Linked DNA regions of Cricetulus griseus. The protein of the gene in region 3 purifies or fractionates together with the protein of the main gene of each other region. This does not show direct contact. Links are inferred from orthologs where the notes say so. Each region holds a gene or a part of one and is shown on either strand. Other genes may lie near its edges.

What was found.
Region 1: the proteins of Napa (region 3) and Snap29 purify together in Homo sapiens (affinity purification with mass spectrometry; 3 studies listed by BioGRID and IntAct, with this or other methods). This does not show direct contact. The link is inferred for Cricetulus griseus from reciprocal best matches to the Homo sapiens genes NAPA and SNAP29.
Region 2: the proteins of Napa (region 3) and Vti1b purify together in Homo sapiens (affinity purification with mass spectrometry; 3 studies listed by BioGRID and IntAct, counting the BioPlex papers as one, with this or other methods). This does not show direct contact. The link is inferred for Cricetulus griseus from reciprocal best matches to the Homo sapiens genes NAPA and VTI1B.

What each region holds. Positions count from the first base shown.
Region 1 is NC_048597.1:71,888,103-71,891,748, forward strand, and holds part of Snap29 (synaptosomal-associated protein 29), read right to left. Parts: intron 2,113-3,646; coding exon 2,014-2,112; intron 1,002-2,013; coding exon 844-1,001; 3' UTR 1-843. UniProt on the Homo sapiens protein: SNAREs, soluble N-ethylmaleimide-sensitive factor-attachment protein receptors, are essential proteins for fusion of cellular membranes.
Region 2 is NC_048598.1:124,459,516-124,463,944, forward strand, and holds the start of Vti1b (vesicle transport through interaction with t-SNAREs homolog 1B), read left to right. Parts: upstream 1-1,499; 5' UTR 1,500-1,811; coding exon 1,812-1,926; intron 1,927-4,429. UniProt on the Homo sapiens protein: V-SNARE that mediates vesicle transport pathways through interactions with t-SNAREs on the target membrane. These interactions are proposed to mediate aspects of the specificity of vesicle trafficking and to promote fusion of the lipid bilayers.
Region 3 is NC_048602.1:10,772,154-10,775,799, reverse strand, and holds part of Napa (alpha-soluble NSF attachment protein), read right to left. Parts: intron 2,722-3,646; coding exon 2,605-2,721; intron 1-2,604. UniProt on the Homo sapiens protein: Required for vesicular transport between the endoplasmic reticulum and the Golgi apparatus. Together with GNA12 promotes CDH5 localization to plasma membrane.

The DNA of each region.
Region 1 (3,646 bases), on a different chromosome or scaffold from region 3:
GGGGGTTCTCCAGGCACCAAATAAACACTGCCTTGGTACTATTCCAGAGGCAGAGAGGGCTCAGTGGAGAGGTTTTTGTTTGGGAGATACTCAGGGCTCACTAACTCCACAGGGGTTCCTCATCAACCTACTTGGTGACCTAGAGCCAGTCAAAAAAACCTGTCCCCACCAGAGATGGCAAGTATGAGATGACAGTAGGTGGGGAAGAAGAGTTCATCCAATTTCCATACACTGCAGGTGTCATGTCCAACAGTTCTAGTCTGAGTCCTTCTACTGAAATACAGGACAAGAACTGAGGACAGGAGGGGAGAGTAATGAAGGCAACACATTCCTTTTCTGGGTCTAACAGGGGTCCTTTTCAGGGGGAGAAAGCTACAATGTGCTCAGTGTATGTGCAGGCATATCGATAATGATTGACATACAAAGATGTGGAAGGACCCTTCCTTCTGCCAAAACCCAGGGTCACTTTACATGAATTCACAGTAAGGCCTTGGAGTGAGAAACAGCGAGTAAATAGAAGGCAATAGTTAGGAGACTGACTGACATCCTGCCCACATCTTTGCATATACTTGTGAAAGAAAGAAATGCACGGTTTTCTTCTTCCTGCACAGTATCAAAAGCTCAAGGCATTCACAATTAGTCTGCCCAGAACTTTAGAGGTGTTGATCTTACCCAAATGTGTACACACACATTTTTTTCCCCATTGAAACTAAAATTTCTTAAGACCCACATTTGAACACATATGTTAAATTACATACTGTACAATCAATGACATTTCTTAGGAGTTTAAAAGAGGCTTTGAATCTTTTCATCACAATGGAGTAGAATTCCTTTTCAGTTTCTTTAGAGCTGCCGAACTTTTTTTTCTGTGCTTTTTATATTGACATCTAACTTGTCCACTTTGGTTGTTAGCCGGTCAAGAATGTCATCCTGCTCCTCAATTTCCGTCTGCATTCCTAAGGCTATGTCCTTGAGTCGGCCCAATCCCATGGACAGCTCATCTGTGAGAAGGAAGTGATAGGCAGTTACAGTGTCTGCAGGGGCTTCTTGCCCCTCTGGATGCTCAGTGGTATCTGGACTGCAGAGTCCTGTCTAAAACCGAGTGCCACAGCCTGTAGCATATGACTCAAAAAACATGGAAGTGAAGAGAAATCTACTTACTACATAGTAATATGTGGTTAGTGTAGGTAGAAGCCACTGTCTACCTCCTCCCTCCAGATAACCAGGGTTAACATGTTTGTTTGTTTGTTTGTTTTAGCATAGTCTTGATAGATAGCTCTGGCTGGCCTGAAAGTTACAATGCAATCCAGGCTGGCCTTGAAGTCAGAGTGATCTCCCTGCTTCTGCTGCCTGAGAAGACTTAGGGTCTCTACCACGTACAGCATTGCTCCCCTAAGTGCTGGAGAATCAAACTTAGGGCCTTGCATGTGCTAGGGAAACACTCCAACACTGAGTCACACCTCCAGCCTCTTTATATTTGTCATGTTGAGACAGGATCTCACAAACTTTCAGGCTGGCCCTGGATTTGCAACCCTATCTTAATCACAGGTACCTGGGATGACAGGTGTTTGCCTGGCATACTATGCTTCTTGAGATCTTTGAAACATGTGACCTTACGTTTCCTGTAAAGTAAAAGTTTAGTGGTCACTCACCCAGGCTTCAAGAAAGCTTCTTGGGTTTGAGACAGTAAGGACAGGAAAAAAGGCTGAGATAGACCAGCCTGGTGGGCTGTGGGACATGCCTCTGTGGATATGAGCACTTGCTGGGCAAGCATGAGATCTGAGTTCAGCTCCTTCGCACTCACATCAGCCGTGTGGCTTTATCCTGGATGCTCTTAAGCCCCAGGGATGCTTAGGTCTGGTCAGGAGTCAAGAAAGTAGTGAGGATGGCTTGGCTACAGTGACAGCAGGAAATGGGGAGAAGTGGACAGATTCCTGACAGTGAGGCAGTACTGGGCGCCCTGGCTGTGCTCAGCATCAACTGTCTGGAGGCTGCTGTAGCTCCCAAACTTACCTAGGTTGTTGTCGATCTTTTGATGATAGGCTCGAAGACTTGAGTTCTTTGGGTAAACCTCAGCAGTCACAGCAGAAGCAGGCCCTTTGGGGGTTGGGTCTAGTTCAGAAAGAAACACCAGAGGGACAGTTCACTGACGGTCACTGCTCCATGAAATTGGCCTATTCTTTTCTGAAGTCCTAGGAAACTGTCCCCAGTAATCACTCATACCAGGAAGGAACTAAAGGGGTGGGAGGAAGGAGGTAGCTGCCTCTGAGGCCATGCAGAGGGACAGGAGCGGGAATGGGACAGGGGTTATAGGCTGGAGAAGTCAAGTCTGAGCTCTGGCTGGTCCTTCAACATTAGCAGATTAAGGACTCTCAATTTACAAGTCAACAGGTGAGATACGGAAAGAGACATGACAATACAACAGGGAACTGTCAATGCAAAGCTGCAGGCTCACAGGCAAGCAAGCTCTGGAAGACAGGTTGGTTTTTTGTTTGTTTGTTTTAATGCTTAAGATTGGAACCAGGGCTTTGTGCATGCTAGACAAGTTCTCTCTACTGTAAATCCCGTGAACTCCAAGCTTACCTCAAACTCTTGTACTCAAGCTATTCCTGCAATATTTGTGACTACAGGTGCATACTACTACACCAGGCAGAGCTGGCAGAGACAGCTTTAAAAATCAAAGTTGTTGTGTGCCCGTCTATAATCTAGCAGATAGAGCAAGAATATCAGAATTTTAAGGTCATCATCTACTAATGAATTTGAAGCCAGACCGGGCTAAATGAGACTCAGTCTCAAAAGAAACAAAACCACATCAAACCATATAAAACATGAAAAAAGCAAAGATGAAAATCATTGCCTGGTGTGGTGGTTTGCAGCTGAAATCTCAGCACTTGGCAGGCTAAGGCAGCAGGATCATGAATTCAAAGCCAGCCTGGGCTACACAGTAAACAATCTCAAAGAGACTAAAGGAAATGAAGTTATGCTACAAAACTGAGCTTACTATTTTTGTTTTTGCTGGGCCGTGGTGGAGCACACCTTTAATCCCAGCACGCCAAAGGCAGAGGCAGGAGGATCTCTGAGCTTGGTCTACATAGTTCCAGGACAGCCAGGACTACACAGAGAAATCCTGTCTCAAAAAAAAAAAAAAAACCAAAACAAACAAACAAAAAACAACAACAACAACAAAAAAAAACAAAAACAAAAACAAAGAAAGAAATTCTATTTCTAAACATATACAGAAATAACCTCTGTCCTCTTTTGAGAGTCTTGTGTAGCTCAGGCTGGCCTTGAATTTGGTATGTAAGTATGTAGTTGAGGTGGCCCTGAACTACTGATCCTTCTGCCTTCATCCCGAGTGCTGGAATTACAGTTTTGTGCTACCACACCTAGCCTCTCCTTTTCTTTTCTTATCTTTTGAGACAGGGTTTTCCACTGTGTTCCAGTATGGATTTGAACTCATGGTAATGTTTTGCCTCAGTCTCCCAAGTGACTAAAACGCCTAGTATGTTTGTTTGCTTGTTTTTGGTTTTCTGATAGCCTGGCTATATAATCTAGGCTGGCCTCAAACTCAAACTTACAATTTCCCTGCCTTAGCTTCCCAAGTACTGGGACTACCTGGACCCAATATGATACCCCAGAATAAATT
Region 2 (4,429 bases), on a different chromosome or scaffold from region 3:
TTAAAGAAAACACTTCCTGTAGTTTTGCAGCTATTTCCCTTCTAACAGACGATGTGCCCAAAAAATCAATCACTATAGTACAACTGCCATCCACATGCGTAATTTGGGTTGTGATCATCAGACCCATCATCAAATCAACTATTTCCTTCTTACCTTTTATGCCACTGTCCAAAAGTCACTTTCCAGGGCTCTTATTCATGCCAGGCTCTCCTTATTTGTACCTCTTTATTTCTGTGACAGAGAAATATAAGGCTTGGAGCTGATGAGACAGAACCGTTATTAGGATCATACAACTCTTACATGCATGACAGACAGCTCACAACCACCTGCAACTCCAGCTCCAGGTGTTCCAAAACCCTCTCTGGATTCCACAGCCAGTACACTTGCACTCATACATGTATACACACACTTAAATATAATTATTTTAATTTAATTTTTGAGGCAGGATTTCTATGTATAGCCCTGCTGTCCTGGAACTCTGTAGACCAGGCTGGCCTTGAACTCAGTGATCCATCAGCCTCTGCCTCCCAAGTGCTGGGGTTAAAAGCATGTGACACCACTCCTGGCCCATCTTTTAACTTTGTAAGAAAAAGAAATATAAGACTTTGCACCACCACTAACAACCCTAGACTTTGTCATCTCTGCACAATGCATGTTACATTTTATTTATTGAGTTCAATGGTCAATGAGTTCAAACTAGTAAAACCCAGGGCTTCAAAGACAAAAAAAAAAAAAAAAAAAAACCAACACCAAAACATTCCCCCAGGAACCTGCTCCCCTACACACCTTGGAAAATGGAATGTGGGACTTTGATTAAATCTATCTATCTATCTATCTATCTATCTATCTATCTATCTATCTATCTCCATGTTTAAATACTGAGCTCTCTCACCCAAACTTTTGAAGAGCAGGCTTTTTGTGCAAACCATACACAGAAAGGACTTCATGATTGTTGACATATTTCACTTAACGGCAGATTAGATGTGGTAAGACCGGTTTGCCTTCCACACCAGATCATAAATTACCCAAGGGCAGAGACAAAATCTATTTTGTTCAACATATGACTCGGTCTTTGCATAATGTCTATGCTTAAACCTGTTGTGAGAACCCAGGGCAGCCTAATGAACTACACTGGCGAAGCCCCTAGAAGCCCAGTTTCCTCTTCTGAAAGCATGTGACACTTAAGCCCCCCCAATATCAGTGTTTTACCATTAGAGGGCAGGCAGGACTCTGCTCACCTATCTATCAAGGGTTAAGAGTAAACATTTAATCGAATCAGAGAGCTGAACGAACTGCGATGACAGATAGGTTGATGGAGGCTCCTATGCTCTCCCAGTCTCTGCGCAACAGGGCTGACCTTCCACGCCCCTGCACAGCCGCGACCCATCTGCCCAACTCCCTCACTTAACTACAATTCCCAGCATGCACCGCAGGCCCGGTGTGCCCGGATGAGGCGGCCGAGGCGCCCGTCCCGCGGGCCCCCTGGGGCCCTTCGCCTTGGTACCTCCCCAGCCCGGCTGGCAGTCTCCAGCTCGGAGACAGCCGATCGTCCCCCGCGCGGCGCCGCGCCCCTGGAGTAGCCGGGAGTCGTCCTCGCCCCCGGCTTTCCGTCAGGCTTTGGCGCCCGGCGCCCGCGCGGCGACAGCAAGGGGAGGGCGTCCGGCTCGGAGGACCCCGGAAGCACCTGGTTCCGGCTGGCCCGGGTACGGCGGTCGCGGTGATGGCTTCGGGACCCGGCAGCTGAGCGCTGAAGGGTGAGTGGGCCCTGCGCCCGGAATCTCAGAGGCCGACGCTCACGTGCAGCCTGCGCCATGGCCACCTCCGCCGCCTCCTCCGAGCATTTCGAGAAGCTGCACGAGATCTTCCGCGGCCTTCTTGAAGACCTACGAGGAGTTCCCGAGCGGCTGCTGGGGACCGCGGGGACAGGTGAGGCGGGGGCGGGACCAGACCCGAACACCACCCGCCCGGTGCTGTCCTCCCAGATGCGGACCCCTGGCTCCCCCGGCACGCCCCCTGCTGCTGTCCGGCCCGCGAAGCCCAGGGTCTGCTGCAGCCACTTGGCTTGCAATGAGATAGACAGACACCAGGGTGTCGTCTCTTAGGGATCCTCTAGTGTCCTACTCCCCCCAACCCCAATTCTTAGTTATCTGCCTCTCCCAGGAGCAAAGGAGGTTCTTAAATCTGCGGTCCTGTATTTCATTAAAACGACTTCTAAAAAAAATCGTAAGATTGGAGGTTGGGGATGTAGGAGTTTGGTAGTTTGATAGGCAATGAAAAATTTTAATTAATTCTAACCATAGCGTTTAGCTTATAGGTGAGACAGAGGCCGGAAGTGAGGGAAGGCAAACAGTTACATTGAAGAGGAACTTGAATGTGTCACATAATACTGTTGGATGTCTTGGGGGAAATCCGTAAGGATCATAAGCAGTTGGGTAATGTGGATTTCATTTTAGAAGCAAGGCTGCGGTAGCTGGATAGAGGATGTGAGAATGGATATGAGGCTGTGTTAGGAGCTTCCATGACAGTTGACTAGGTAAGCATGGGACTCTGGAGAGTGAGCATTAAATCCAACAGGTGGTTCCGAGGCAGACTTATGAGACTGGTGGATAAGAATAGGAAGAAAGATTGAAGAGTTTCCGTGTTTTCTCACGTGATCAGTTGAGTGGATGAACTTAAATATGAGGAGCAGATTGGTTTGAGTTATAGATGTGACTGGCTACCTGTAGAGTGTATTCTGTATCTAGCCTGACAAAATATTTTTCTGCCATTAAAACCATCATCAAGAATTCATTAATAAAGTAGATATTGTAAAAACCAAGAATTTGCCAGTGGCAAATTTTCTTTTCTTTCTTTCTTTTTTTTTTCTTTTTTCTTTTTCTTTTTTTTTGTTTTTTGTTTTGTTTTGTTTTTTGTTTTTTGAGACAGGGTTTCTCTGTATTGCTTTGGAGCCTGTCCTGGAACTCTCTTTGTAGACCAGGCTGGCCTTGAACTCCCAGAGATCCGCCAGCCTCTGCCTCCCAAGTGCTGGGATTAAAGGCGTGTTCCACCAACACCCAGCCCCAGAGGCAAACACTTTTAATCCTAGCACCTGGCATGTAGAAGCAGGAGAATCTGTGTGAGTTAAAGGCCAGCTTGATCTACCTAGCAGACTAGGTTTTATATAGTAAGACATTGGGGGGGCGGGGCAGACTGGCTTCAGACTGGCTTAGTAGCTATGTGACCTTGCAAGTTTTTTAACCAAACTAGCTTCCTCTACAAAATAAAATAGCATCTAACTTCATGGGGTTTTTTGTGAGGAGTGAATGAGTTAATATATGTAAATCCCTTAAAAATACTATCTGGCAAGAGCTACTAGCTATTATTCATATTTGGGAATTTACTGTTTTTTTTTGTTTAATTTAAAATATTAGCTCTTTATGTAGCTAGCTATTCTTAGGATGCTCTGTTTTGTTTGTTTGGTTTTGGTTTTCTTGTTTCTCTGTGGAGCCCTGGCTGACCTGGAACTCTCTCTGTAGACCAGGCTGGCCTCGGACTCATAAGTACATCTGCATCTGCCTCCTGAGTTCTGGGATTAAAGGGGTGCTCCATTACAGACCCAGATTCAGAACACTTACTTCCTAATGTACTCAACACTTTACATATTTATGATACAGTATATTGCTTGGCTTTCTGTGACTAGAAAAGGAGTTTGGAAATGTGCTCTACAAATCAGCACCATCAACACCACCTGGGAACTTGTTAGACACACATGCTTACCCCCCACCCCAACCTCCACCCCCACCCCAGCAAACAGAATCACTAACTGTTGTGACAAGCAGTCTGTCTTAACTGCTCTCAGAAGGATTTCTGGGGCTGGCTTAAGTTTGAGAACCAATGATCTAGAAATGAAATAATATTTTGTTCTGTGTAGTGTGTGTAATAAACTCCCAGGCATAGTGCCCAGCACGCCTGTATCTGAGTGTGGTAGTGCACACTTAGGAGGCAGAGGCAGCAATGGGTCTCTCTGACTTTGAGGCCAGCCTGGGGTTACACAGTTGAGACCCTTTCTCAAAACATAAAATGAACAACATATATATTTGTTAAATTATTGTAAAAATCATTTTTGGTTGTTAAAGGTACTATGAGTTCTTAGAAGAAAATAGCTGAGTAGGCATAATAATGTGTTTTTTTCATATTTTCATTACTCTTCAAATCGATATATATATACCTGTTAAAACAACCAAAGCAAAAGAGATACTTATTTCCCCAAAGTGTAGTCTGTATTCTCTCTTGGCCCTTGAAGGATAACTGTCACGGTGTGTCCTAATTTAGGAAGTTTTTGTGGCAATGACAGTCTTGCCATGTATGGTAATCATTAATCTCAAAGCCTGTTTCCATTTTATTCCAGAATATGGTGCTAACCCGTTTATCAAATGAAACAGTTGGTCCC
Region 3 (3,646 bases):
CTACTTCTTGAGGAGACTTCGGTAGCCAAGGTCTGTTGGCATAGGCTCTATTGGTGGGACAGTCCCTGCCACGGCAGTGGGGGAGAAACATGGATTCACAGGGCCTAGTCCTCTTATGCTGGCCCCTTGCTCTGGGAACAGCTTGGAAAGTAGTAGGCTGCCAGCTGACACCCGGGCCTGCTCTTACCACAGGGCTTATCTGATGCCACAGGCCTCAGTGAAACCTTGAAGGTAAATAGTAGGGCCCTTGGTCTATTCCCACCCTCTTGTGCTCAGCCTGTCCAGAGCAGGTAGGGAGTTACAGAGCCCGGCTCACCTCCGCATCACCCTGAAGCCCCTGATCACATGCAGATCTAAGCAAGCACCGTCCACAACAAACTAGGGACAAACCACGAGCTCCAATGAGGCGGTGGGGATAGGTAGATAGGAAGCCAGACTGCTTCCCTGCCCGTGCACATTCACAGCTCATTTAGAGCTCCTGCTCTAAAAGGGTCACATTCCCAGGCCTCAGGCAAGCAGCTCAGGCGAGATTCCTAAAGAGCTGATGGACCAGACCCCAGGGCAGGGGATCTCACAGCTAGCTAAGGGAGGTCCTTCCTGAAGAAACTGGGGGTTCAAGCCTCCACTGGTCATCCAGTTGTTTCCCAGGGCACCCAGCCATGCAGGGAGGCTCTGGTGCCAGGGGCTGCCCCCTTCTGGATGCCAGGAATGAATTGCTGTGTACAGCTCACAGTAGGTGTGTGCTATCACTGAAGAGAGAACACAGCAGAGTGACGGCTAGGCTGAAGTGTAGTGGGGCAGCACAAGTCCCCACTGGGTTCCTTGGAGGAGGGGGAGTGATCTGCTCAGACCACCTGGGCATGTCCTCCCCTGCTTGGTCACTCTTCTCTGTGAGCCCTGACTGGCCCCGCAGAAGAGCTGTCAACCGTGCAAATGCACCCCCTTCCCCTCATATGTGGAACTGTGACTGGGCAGGGCAGCAAGGCAGCAGCGCTGGATGCCACGTGGCTGAGTCCCTAGCCCTTAACACCAGAAGCGCTCCCCTCACAACTGTGCTTTCCCCGTGAGGCAAGTCGGCCCCTCTCTACCTTCACTCACACCCTTGGCTGCAGCACCCTCAATACTTTCCCATCAGCTTGGACTTGCTGAGGCCGGGGCCCATGCCTGGGTCCCGAGAGAAAAAGGACATGACCACAAGCTGGGAGGGGCAGCTATGGCATCCTGCAGGTTGGCATCCACTGCCACCTAGGAACAAGTCCTCCCGGCCATTCCGGCTGGAGCAGCAGCTGAAGGGCACAGATGCCAGGCAGCATCTCCAGGCCAACCAGTTCCCCAGGGAGCAGAAGGGAAAGTGTGGGGACGGCTCTGTGGGGGAGAGGACTGCCCTGAGTCACTGGGTGTATCTAAGTCCTGGCTGAAAGGCCATCCGTCCCTCTCTGTTTGTCAGGCCTGAGCCACACATCATAGCTAAACAAACAGGAGTGACCAGTCAGCCCAGGGACAGAGTCACCACAGTCATCTCTCTAATTGGGAGTGGTCCTGTGACAATGACGGCTGACATCCACTGATGCTGGGGAGGACCGAGGTGCTTGTCTTCTCTTCTCCTCAGAGGTGGGCTTTCACCCAGACCCCAAGCCTCTCCTTTGGGAAAGAACAGTCACTTCTTTCCCACTCTCCTGAGAGAAACAGCCTGGATACTTTAAAGATTTATTTATGAGACACAGTCTCATGTAACCCAGGCTGGCCTCAAACTCACTATGTAGCCAAGAGCTAAGGATAGCTGAGTGTCTGATCTTCCTGTCCCTACTTCCCAAACTCTGGGACGACAGGCAGGCACTGCCATGACTAGCTTAGATGGCCAATTAAACAAACAAACAAACAAACAAACAAATACCTGTGCGTGCTGAAATTTAAAGTTAGTCATCTATGTAGCTCTAAGATTTTCAAAAAGAACCATTTTCAAAAAGAACCAAAAAGAACTGGGGACATGTACAACACATTTGCAGCACACAGAGGTCCAGGCTCCATTCCCAGCACCACAAAAATAAGTGAACAAAAATACCAAAAGCAAATTCCTCAGCCTGGAAATCTCAAGTCTGAGGTCCATGGGCTGTGCTTTGGCCTAACCAGGCTCCTATGTCATAGGCTCTGCTTTAAGGAACTGGGCTCTGGCAGCTCACTCCAGGCTTGCTCTCTCTGCTTCCTTCTGGTGTGCTGGGAAGGCAGGTCAGGCTGACTTCCGCTCTACCTGGTTCATCTGGGACTGCCCCCCTCCCTGCTCCCTGCTTCCTTCTGCATGCTAATTCTGACAACTGAACAGCTTTGCCTGGCTCCCTGGCAAGGAGTGGGCCTGAGATGGAACTCCCACTACCAAATGCTCGAAGCCCAGGAGGGGGTGAGGGCTGCACACCAGGGTGGGGGTGGGGGGTGGGGAGAGAGGGCAGGATGCCAATGTCAGCCAAGGACCAGCCAATTCTGAATTTGGGGCTTGTTTTGCTCCTGGCCTATCATGTGTCAACTACTGGAAAAACCCAGCTCTGTATAGACCCAAGGATGTGGGGACAGTGCTCAGCTGCTCTGCCAGCTGTGGCTCACAGAGGTTACCTTGTGGGTCGGCTTTCTTGAAAGCGTTGCCTGCGTCCACGAAGCAGGTAGCTGCATCATGCTTGCTCTGGAGCTGTAGGTGCAGCTGGGCAGCCTGGCAGAAAGCGTTCCCGGCAGCTGGAATAGAACAGATCGTCCCAGCTTCAATGCAGTTGCAGTCACTGCCCAGAGAGGCACATTAGGCTCACAATTAGAATACAGGTAGAGGCCAAGATCAGCCCACTCCAGCCCAAAAGCAGCCTGAACCCCTCACAGAGCTTCCTGGTGGTATGCACCTGGTAGAGTGAGGACGTCAGGAAGCAGCCTCGGGGGAAGCCTGAGCCCAGGGGCACAGAAACAGCCAGGTAAACACAGTGCCAAACCCATGTCCCCCCCCCCTCTGCCGGCACCTCCAGAGCCACCACTTCCACAGAGAGGAAGGAAAGACAGACAGAGAGCTGAGGGCTGCAAATACATGAGACATGACACCCAGGCTCTTGGGCTCTTTGAACAGGGAAGCCCAGAACCTGAACTAAAGGTGGGGATGGGGCGATTGGGGGGGGGGGAAGGGATGTGCTCTGGGAAGGCACAGGTGAGATCAACCCATGTGACACTTCCCACTTGCTCCCTTTCCTAGCCCATTTCTGTCCTCCACAACTCCCCAAAGCTCTCAGGTGCACCCCTGCTATGTCTGAGTCCTTGCTAGAAAGGGAAACAGGACGAGGACAGCAAGAGCCAGAGTCCGCGCAGACAGTGCTAATGCCCGAGGCAGCCATGGGCTCCACACCATTTTGCTCAGACCTCCCCTAGACTGGCTAAGGGGAGGCAGCAGGGTTTTCCCTGCTGTGGGTGGTGCTCCAATACCACCTCAGCTAAGGCACTACTTTGCATGCTCCTCCAGTCCCAGCTGAGTGGGAGCCTCCAAGCTATGGGAGGTCCCACCTGTCCACTCTCCTGAGCACAGCAGGACACACAAAGCCTGCAAAGGCTTTGCTCCACAGTTATCTGATGATTGTGATCACCTTGTGGGCCTAGGGACAAATGCCAGGCTAACCCTGTCAGA